Linked DNA regions of Tribolium castaneum. Each later gene encodes a partner of the first gene's protein in a complex. Links are inferred from orthologs where the notes say so. Each region holds a gene or a part of one and is shown in the gene's direction. Other genes may lie near its edges. The genes, in order: eIF3j, eIF3g1 and eIF3k.

Evidence for each region.
Region 2: eIF3j (region 1) and eIF3g1 share a complex: the UniProt entries of both Homo sapiens proteins name them as parts of the eukaryotic translation initiation factor 3 (eIF-3) complex. The link is inferred for Tribolium castaneum from reciprocal best matches to the Homo sapiens genes EIF3J and EIF3G.
Region 3: eIF3j (region 1) and eIF3k share a complex: the UniProt entries of both Homo sapiens proteins name them as parts of the eukaryotic translation initiation factor 3 (eIF-3) complex. The link is inferred for Tribolium castaneum from reciprocal best matches to the Homo sapiens genes EIF3J and EIF3K.

Annotation. Positions count from the first base shown.
Region 1 is NC_087396.1:21,286,963-21,290,498, reverse strand, and holds eIF3j (eukaryotic translation initiation factor 3 subunit J), read left to right. Parts: upstream 1-1,400; 5' UTR 1,401-1,715; coding exon 1,716-1,728; intron 1,729-1,788; coding exon 1,789-1,874; intron 1,875-1,919; coding exon 1,920-2,027; intron 2,028-2,073; coding exon 2,074-2,371; intron 2,372-2,423; coding exon 2,424-2,560; intron 2,561-2,604; coding exon 2,605-2,655; 3' UTR 2,656-2,899; downstream 2,900-3,536. Other genes in the region: Srp54 (probable splicing factor, arginine/serine-rich 7), read right to left, coding at 1-1,140. UniProt on the Homo sapiens protein: Component of the eukaryotic translation initiation factor 3 (eIF-3) complex, which is required for several steps in the initiation of protein synthesis.
Region 2 is NC_087395.1:17,787,813-17,790,740, forward strand, and holds eIF3g1 (eukaryotic translation initiation factor 3 subunit G), read left to right. Parts: upstream 1-1,341; 5' UTR 1,342-1,458; coding exon 1,459-2,304; 3' UTR 2,305-2,353; downstream 2,354-2,928. UniProt on the Homo sapiens protein: RNA-binding component of the eukaryotic translation initiation factor 3 (eIF-3) complex, which is required for several steps in the initiation of protein synthesis.
Region 3 is NC_087402.1:8,161,812-8,164,669, reverse strand, and holds eIF3k (eukaryotic translation initiation factor 3 subunit K), read left to right. Parts: upstream 1-1,387; 5' UTR 1,388-1,494; coding exon 1,495-1,547; intron 1,548-1,607; coding exon 1,608-1,827; intron 1,828-1,879; coding exon 1,880-2,254; 3' UTR 2,255-2,299; downstream 2,300-2,858. Other genes in the region: Syx13 (syntaxin-12), read left to right, coding at 216-415, 462-868, 922-1,100; gem-associated protein 8, read left to right, coding at 2,843-2,852. UniProt on the Homo sapiens protein: Component of the eukaryotic translation initiation factor 3 (eIF-3) complex, which is required for several steps in the initiation of protein synthesis.

The DNA of each region.
Region 1 (3,536 bases):
CCTATCTTTCGACCTATCCCGAGTCTTAGATTTGGCCCTTGGCCTACTGCGACCCTTCGATTTCGACCTTGACCGGCGTTCGCGCGACCTTGAACGCCTCGTACGTGAAACCGAACGTTTCCGAGAGCGAGACTTCGAGCGTTTACGCCGGTCACGTGATCGTGAACGGCGTGAACGTGACGTTGAACGGCGACGACGTGAACGTGAACCACGCGAGAGTGACCTTGAGCGTGAGCGGCGTCTACGCCCTCTAGATCTTGAGCGGGAACGTCGCGAGCTCCTTTTATCTTTAGTTAGCATTCCGATAACTGGCTCAATCGAGGCATTGATCATGTTTTGAGCCTCTTTAAAGCGAGACATTGCTTCTTCAATTTCCTTCTGAGCGGCTTCGTTACTTTTGGCTTGGGGCTTCATGATTGGTTGAGTGGCGTGAATGATTTCCAGCGGCTTGCCTTTGAACTCTTCACCGTTCATTTTCATGGCGTTCACGACGCTTGGCTGTTCCGTGAATTCGATCAAAATGTGCGTGGTGTTGTCGTTGGGGCACTCACACACTCTCAAATACTTCACTTCACCGGCTTGTGAAAAATACTGGATTATCTCATCTGTGGGTATGGCGGGGTCAATATTGACCACTTGGACCGTTCGACGAGTCTCCTCGACTTTGATCGAGTCGTATTTGGCCGGCAAAGGGGGATAGGGGGCGCAGCCATTGTCAGTCAAATGGGGGTCATTTGTGACAACAACGCGTTCCTCGCCTGTGCCTTGGAACGAATTGGAGACATGTGGGGGCAACTTTGGCTCGTTTACGTTAAACCCGGGGACAATGGTCCCGTTACGGGTCATCTCCAGAGCGTAGTACTCGTCGGGGATGTCCCCGTTGATCACAGGGATGACAATTAGGGCCCGGTCGATGAAAACAGTGTTTGTCATGTGTTGGGCTACACCTACCGTGCTGGAATCCACGAATTTAACGTAACAAATCCGGGACTGGACAGGACAGGAGACGTCTCGAATCGTGGGGTACAGGCGAATGTCTTCGATTTTACCCAAGTAGCCGAACAGCGTCTGCATCTGGTCCTTGGTGGCCTGGGGGGCTATGTTGGTCACCTGGACCACCTTAGTGTTACCCACGACCATTTTCACGCACTATTTTAACATTTTCCAACGAGTTTAAAAAACGTAAAACGACGCACATTGACAAGTCAAATGACAGCAAGTGTCGCCAACTATTGTTCAATGATGAAAAACGCGGTGAAAAAGCAATTTATGGCCAATCGTCCTAATTAAAACTTTTTATGACTGTCCCAAAAGGATAATTTCAAATTATTTAAAATCTTTGGCGTTAAATAGCCTGTAAAACTTGCACTTTGGTTGTAATTTGGTGCCTTAATTGTGTGCCGGTTGGCAGGCGTAGTTGGTTTCTGTCAAGGGTGAGATGGGTGTTCGAGGGCTATTTTCGCTCGTGAATTGTTCAACTTCGCCTGATTTCGCTGACTTTTCATCTTGCAAGAGACATAAAAAGCCGAAACGTATTGTTTGATACATCTACAAATCGGTGTACTTGTGGAAGCTTCGAGAAAAGATAGTGTTTGGTTTGGTGACACTTTGACAGTGTCATCTGGCGGTTTCTGGTGCAGTTGCACGTTATTCAGCACACGTGAATTTCGAGGTTGAGGTCGTTTTGTGCTAATTTCGGCCGTATTTTCGCCAATATGGAATCGTGGGGTAAAAATTTAGTCAATTCTTTCACTACTTGAGCGAAAATTTGACATGGGGCTGTTTCAGACGACGATAACTTCGAACCTCCATCTGTTACACCTGTGGTTGCGTCCAACAAATGGGAAGGCGAGGACGAAGACGACAACGTCAAGGTAAAATGAGTGAATTCCTGCCAAAAATTTACCATTTTCCTGCAGGAAAGCTGGGAGGATGAGGAGGAGGAGAAGGTGGAAGCGGCGCCTGCCGAGGAGGCCAAACCCAAGCCCAAGAAGCAGTCAATCGCTGACAAAATCGCAGAGAAAGAAGTGGGTATCGCAATAGTTGTGACAAATCTAATTTCTCCTTATTCAGAGAAAGAGGAAGGAAGAAATGGAGCGGAGGCTGAGGGAGCAACAGGAGGAGGAAATCTCCCCGGAGGAGAAGCTCAGGATGCAGAAGGAATCGGACTTGAAAATAGCGCTAGAAACGACGTTTGGGGGCGACACCAATAGCACAAACATTTCAGGTTTAGACGGACTCACGCTGCCAACTACTAAAGAAGAGTTTCAGGACTTTACAGACGCTCTCTCTAAGAAGCTCCAACCTCTAGCTAAAAGCACAGAGTATCCGGTGTTCACCGAAAACTTACTACGAAATCTGTGTGCCACTTGTACGTCTCTCGTTTTAATTTAAAACAGCGTTAATGATGAATGTTCTTGCAGTGTCCTCATTAGATATTAAGAAAATTAAAAATACGTTAGATAATTTATACCTAGAGAAACAAAAAATCGAGAAAGGCGAGAAATCGAAGAAAAACAAAGGCAAAGGCAAGGCTAAATTACGACTGGATGATGGAAATGTAAGTTGTGGTTTTACAAGTGTTTGGGTTAATTTTTTTTGCAGCCTTTGTCAGCGTATGTTAACGACTATGACGATTACGACGACTTTATGTAGCAGATTGCAGCGGTTTAGATAGGGTTTTAATTTTTAAATAAATATCTTCGATAAATATAAATATTGTTAAATTATACGGTATTTTTAAAAAGGTGTAGTGTAATGATCATGCAATATGGTTAATAATTTTTACTTTTTTTTCACCGTTTTGTGTTTTTCTATACTAATGTAACGAGTCATTATTAATTAATGAGTTGCTGGTTTTTGTTGCTACTGATATAGAAGTTGTATTTTAAGGCGATTATTGTATGGATTTGCATACAAGTTGTATTCAATGGATTTGATGCAATTATTGTTAATATCAATATAATTTTTCAAAAAAATGATTGCGTTTTATTTAAAAAAGAATCAAGTGTCTTAGACACAGAGTTGCCACACGCACGCAATTTAAATCCCGTCTACGCCGTTCTGACGTGTAATTATTACACATTTATGCTGAAATTTATTATAGAACAAGTGGACCCCGCTTCTATAAACTTTTTGAGACCATAATCTATTTTAATGTTGAATATTTAAGTACCGTTGTTGGTATTCCTGTCCGAGTTTCATCACAATATTTGTTGTAAAAATGGCAAAATTGGTGCTTACCTCCACGATGACACTATGTAAACACTGATTCATTAGACTTTTCCCGATTTTAAACACTTTTTAAAACTAAACACAAACACCATGTTAACTTTTTTGTCATAAAAAGCAAGCGTCTTTAGACTCAGGGCTGCCACCATGCCACACACACTTGATTAGAATCCCGCCTTTGTAATTACTCGAAATTCCACTAAAATTAATTACACAACAAACAAAAACTGTCTTGGGACACATTTAACATGACTTTAGTCATTTAATACGGATTTAAAATATTTAGTGACAATCTTTTGGTGTTC
Region 2 (2,928 bases), on another chromosome or scaffold:
GCTAAAATGAGTTTTCTCATTTTATTTTATTTTATAAATTGTCCTAATTTATATACAGGTGTCTCAGTAATGTGAAAAAGTCCATTATTGGCTTAAATTTTAGAAAATTAATTTGACTCACCTAAAATTATTTTCAGGTATTATAGGGTATTTTTGAAATTAGCTAAAATGCAAACATATGTTTTTTTAAATAGAACACCCTATATTTTTTTGCACTTTTATATAATTTATAATAATTTTCAAAGAGGACTAGATTTTTTTTTGATTTTTTTTTCAGTTTTAAAAATTATTTTCAGAATTAGATAAAGCAGTGACCGCATTTTAAAAAACTTTCTCGCCTACAGCCCGAGTAAAAGAATGTATCCTGGAAATCAGTTTAAAAAATGTGCTGTAGAACACTGTGGAATGTGACCAAAATTCGACTCTTTTTAGCTCCCTTTATTATAGTTTGGAACACATTTCTTTGGCAACCCATTGAATACATCCTTTGGATATTATGTTTGATAAAAAATAAGTTTCATCCAGTAAGCAGATCGGTCCAGGACGACCTTAGCTGGGATCCTCTATTAGCAAAATCAAATTTTTTAAAATCACGTTGCTCAATTTTTACATATTTCTCTGAATGGACGAAAATTTAATTAGATCTAATTTAGCATTCCCTTTATACATAATCGTATTTTTATTGGATTTCAGAGACATTTCAAGTTATTTTAACTCAATTTCTCTTTTTTATCTAAGGCGGCGCAGAATGTTTCTTCTCTAGAAGGCTGTGAAAGATTTTTTCTAAAGCAACAGAATCGTAGCCGTAGCCTTCTAGAAGGATACCTAAATTTTCACAAATGTCTCAATTGGCGACAATACATTTATAAATAATAAGCTGCATTTCTGCACATCATCAGAAGCAACATGAACCAAAATATCAACTATTTTAATGTAGGTATACTTACGGCGTTACACAGTTGCGACAGAAAGTTTCACAAGCAAAAAAACTTTATTATAGCCAATAAACGGATGCAAATTTAACACTCCCGACACAAATTTAACTAATTTAAGAATGCAAAACATTAACTATTGGCAAAAGAACGCAAAACACAAGTCACACATTTTCTGTGTACAAAATCTAGTAGTTGATGGTTTTCAAAGCCACCTTTCCGAATAAGTTTCCCAATTTTAAAATTTCATTACAGAATCCTGTAATTATGTGTTTGTGGGTTTGTAACACGACAGCCCCGTTTGTCGGGGTTTATTTATTAATCGGTTTATTAAATAAATTTTAAAATACATGGCTTTATTAAATATCAACAAAATTAAATTGTATTGCAAAAAACAAAAATAAATAATTTGCAACGAAATTCCCCAAAGGTTGGCGAGTCTGTTGTTTGACAGTTTGAGGTTAACTTTTGTGAACGTGATTGTCGCACCATATTTTCCAAAAAAACGTTTCAAAATTAGCTAAAAATGCCTGTTGCCGAAGAGGTCAAGTCCAGCTGGGCTGACGAGGTGGAGTTGGAGGGCGGGTCGCTCCCGCCCCCGACCGAGGTGTACGAAAACGGCTTCAAGATCGTGACCGAATACGCGTACAACGAAGACGACAAAAAAATGAAAATCGTGCGGACCTACAAGATCGAGAAGCGCGTCGTTTCAAAATCGATCGCTTTCCGCAAGACTTGGAAGAAATTCGGCGAGTGTGCCAACGACAAGCCTGGCCCGAACCCGGCCACCACGATCGTCGCCGAGGACGTGTACATGCAGTACATCACGAGCAAGGAGGAGGACAACAAGCAGGAAGACGACGCTTTGGAGAAGCTGAAGGCTCTGGGCGACAAGAACGTGGTCAAGTGCCGCACCTGCAGCGGGGACCACTGGACCTCCAAGTGCCCCTGGAAGGACACCATGCTGGCCGGGGGCAAAGTGCCCGACGACAAGAAGGGCCCGGCGGTTCCGTCAGGGTCGGATGCGGGCAAGGCCGGGGGGTCCAAGTACATTCCGCCGAGTTTGCGAGATGGGGCCGTCAGGAAGTCCGATAATCTCAATATGGCGCGCAGAGACGACGCCACGGCGATTCGAATCACCAATCTTAGTGAATCTACCACTGAGACTGATTTGGAGGATCTGGTGAAGCCGTTTGGCCCGATCCAGAAGTTGTATTTGGCGAAAGACAAACAAGCCGGTTATTGCAAAGGATTCGCTTATATTCATTTCAAGTTTAAGAACGACGCTGCTAAAGCCATTTCTATGCTTAATGGACACGGTTATGATCATCTTATACTCACGGTGGATTGGTCTAAGCCACACCCTAATTGAAATGTATTTTATAAGTTTTATTTGTATTGAATAAAAATGCTTTAGCTAATGTTGCGTTTTTTCAAACCTACAATACAACAAAATACGTAGACATTTCAGTTTTAAATAATTCGAACAGAGGTGAAGATTGGTACAGGTCTTAGGTACACTATTAAAATAAAATATAGAAAATTCTCAAGTGTTGAAACTATCAGCTCTTAGCATTTTTCGCGTAAACGGTAGGTAAACATTACGGTAACTTCTCGGAAAAATAAAAAATCCCAAGCAATTGAGTTTTTTTAACTCGAGAGGTTTGTAAAGGCATACAATACCTGATAGAACTTTGCTAAAGCTAGTTAATTGTTTTGTTTTTTTTGAAAAGGTAAAAAATCTTAGACAATAGTTTAAGAAGTCTGCAAAATATTAACTATTGCTGGCTAATTTAGCAAATAAATAAGGTTGGTTTTTGGTTATAAACTAACCAATAAAAATAAAATAAAAGGTTAATAAACTAACTAAAAGATTTATTAACCAATCAAAGAACCTTCTGGTTATTTAATATTAATAAGTAATAACTTGACTGGACAATAATTAAAATGCGAATATAGGATTTTCCTTTTATTTTTTTTTCGATTTTGCTTTTTA
Region 3 (2,858 bases), on another chromosome or scaffold:
AAATAATTTAGGGTGTGATTTTTTTAACATGTATTTTTAAAATGTGAGGTATTTCAATTATTCAACAATAAGCTAATTTTGTTTCATCCCCGAGGCCACAATTGAACTCACCCCCTTGTTATAACAATAAGTCACCTGATCTTTCCTACTCCTAACCTCAGTTTTAAGTTTACGAAACGTCAAATCACAAACGAAAAGGGGCGTCGAAGACAACAATGAGTAAACATCCCTACAATTACGGTGCTACTGCGTCCACTGACGTAGGTTTCATCGGTAAGCGCTCCCCCGAATTCAATAATTTATGCGATGGCGTCGTAACAAACATTTACACAATCAACTCAAGTCTCAAGACCTTAGACAACGCTTTAAAAACAATCGGAACCAGAAAAGACAATCAGGGATTAAGAAGTTCAATGTAAGTCTTTTCCCTTCTGGAATTTCAATCACTTCCCTAATTCTAGACACGTCACTCAATTGAGCACAAACCAGATCGCATCAGTCACAAGCAAAGACATTCACAAGCTCAAGCAACTTGTATCCAAAAGCGAGAAACAGCAGCAGTTGCAAGTAGAAAAGTTAGAAGAGAATTTTAAAGAAGCGATCACGCGCTACTATTCCTTACAAAAGGACTTGGCCAACAAGCAGAAATCACATTTATTGGTTTCTGTAAGCATAGAAAATGACTACACGCCGGAAGAAGACACAGAACAGCAACGGCAAGCTCAGCTTGCACGCGAAATGGCGTTTGAGCAAGATATGCTCATGGAGAGAGAAGCTAGGATTAAACAAATTGAAGCCGATGTACTTGATGTTAACGAAATCATGCGCGAATTGGGGTCCTTAGTGCACGCCCAAGCGGAAACAATCGGTATTGAGCTAACTTTTAAAAAAATCGGGAGATTAATCAACTCTTTTTTTAAGATACTATTGAAAATAGCATAGACCATGCAACTGGCAATGTGGAAGAAGCGACAGAACAGTTAATTACAGCAGCGAGTTATCAGAATAAGTATAGGCGCAAGTTGCTATTCATGGTACTGATAGGACTTGCAATAGTTGCAATAATTATTATAATACTAGTTGTACAGTTTAAAAAGTAGCTGCGTAATATTACTTTTCTTTATAATTACTCAAACCTGTTTTTGTGGTGAATAACTGCTTGATATATTTATATACAGTATACACAGACTTTTTATAGCAACTAATCTTATCATAGAATTTATATTTATTTATGTAATTATCTTAATCACAAAATATGAATGATATTTAGTTTTTTTGTATAATTATCCATAAAATTCTATGAGAACCGCAAAAAATAAGTAGTGACATGAAACACTCTGTAGTTAAAATGTAGGCAACACATAAAACAACAGTTCCCTATCGCTTACAGCGGCCTCTGTTCCAAAAACTTTGAATTTTAAACGTCATTAAGACGTGTTTTTTGAGAAAGTTGTGCTTTTTTCTCATTTTTTAGTGAAAAACAAATTGAAAACCATGGCCGAAGCAATGAAACAAACTGTGGCAGCAATGCTTAAAGGCATTGAACGGTATTGTTATTCTTTTATTACGTTTTTTTACCATGCATTGGACTTAACCTCTATTTTCAGGTACAACCCTGATAATTTACCGACTTTGGAGCACTACGTGGAGATACAATCGCGCGAAAATGCCTACGATTTAGAGGCTAACTTGGCCGTCCTTAAATTGTACCAATTTAACCCTAGTAGCTTCAATATCGACATCACAAGTCAAATCCTGCTCAAGGCTTTGACAAACCTTCCAAACACGAATTTTATTTTGTGCAAATGTCTTTTGAACGAACGACAGGTTAATAAATTCAGTCAATATATTTGTTTTGCAAAAAAAAAACATTTTTTAGCTGGCGGAAGAACCCATCAACCAAATTATCTACTTGGCCGACATTTTGGAACAGTGCGATTTTCAATTGTTCTGGACCAGAATCCACTCAATGCCAGAGTTGACCCAACGAATTACCGGATTTTTAGACTCAATCCGGAAATTTGTGTGTCACGTAGTTGGAATCACGTATCAGACCATTGAAAGGTCCCATTTGGCCGAATTATTGGGAGACGTTGATGACCTTACGTTGAAAGTCTGGGTCAATAAGTATGGATGGAAGGAACAGGGCCAGTTGATTTTCATTGCCAATCAAGACGAAAACATCAAAACTAAAAATATTAACGAGAAAATCGATTTCGAAAATGTCGGAGCCATTATGGCTTCATGTCGCTGATTTGTATTTTAATTTTTCAATAATAAAATAAAACTACTTCGTGTCTACGGACCTCTAAATGCTAGGATACGAAACGACCAAATAAATCGTCCCCGTCCTTGATAGTTCCGTTAATATCACCAGAGAGCGCAGTTACTTGAGTTTTCAGAGCAATGAACTTGAAAAAATGGTTGCATTTGTGTAATAGTTAACACACAGCAATAAAAAAATACAAGCAAATTGGGGATTAAATTTCAATAGTAAGACAAACAATGCAAAAATTTTATCGTAAATTATATTTTAAATAAATTAAAACTTTTGGCACTGTGTCCCATATTTTTCAAAAGGCTGCGAATACGCTTACAGATACAAAAAAGTGTAAGGAACAACGTTGTAAAGAATTAAATTTCCTATCAAAAAATTCGCGACACCATATCTTTGGCACTCAAACCGTTGATGGTCTCCCAGACTTTTTAAAGGAAAATATAAATTTCTTCCTTTTATTTTATATCTTGTTTCGTCTCCTACAGAAGTAATAATCTGTATTCGTGTGATTGTTTCGGATGGGAACCCCCTCTATGTACAGTCCTGCGAATGAAGTTATACAATATGGAAGATGGTTAGT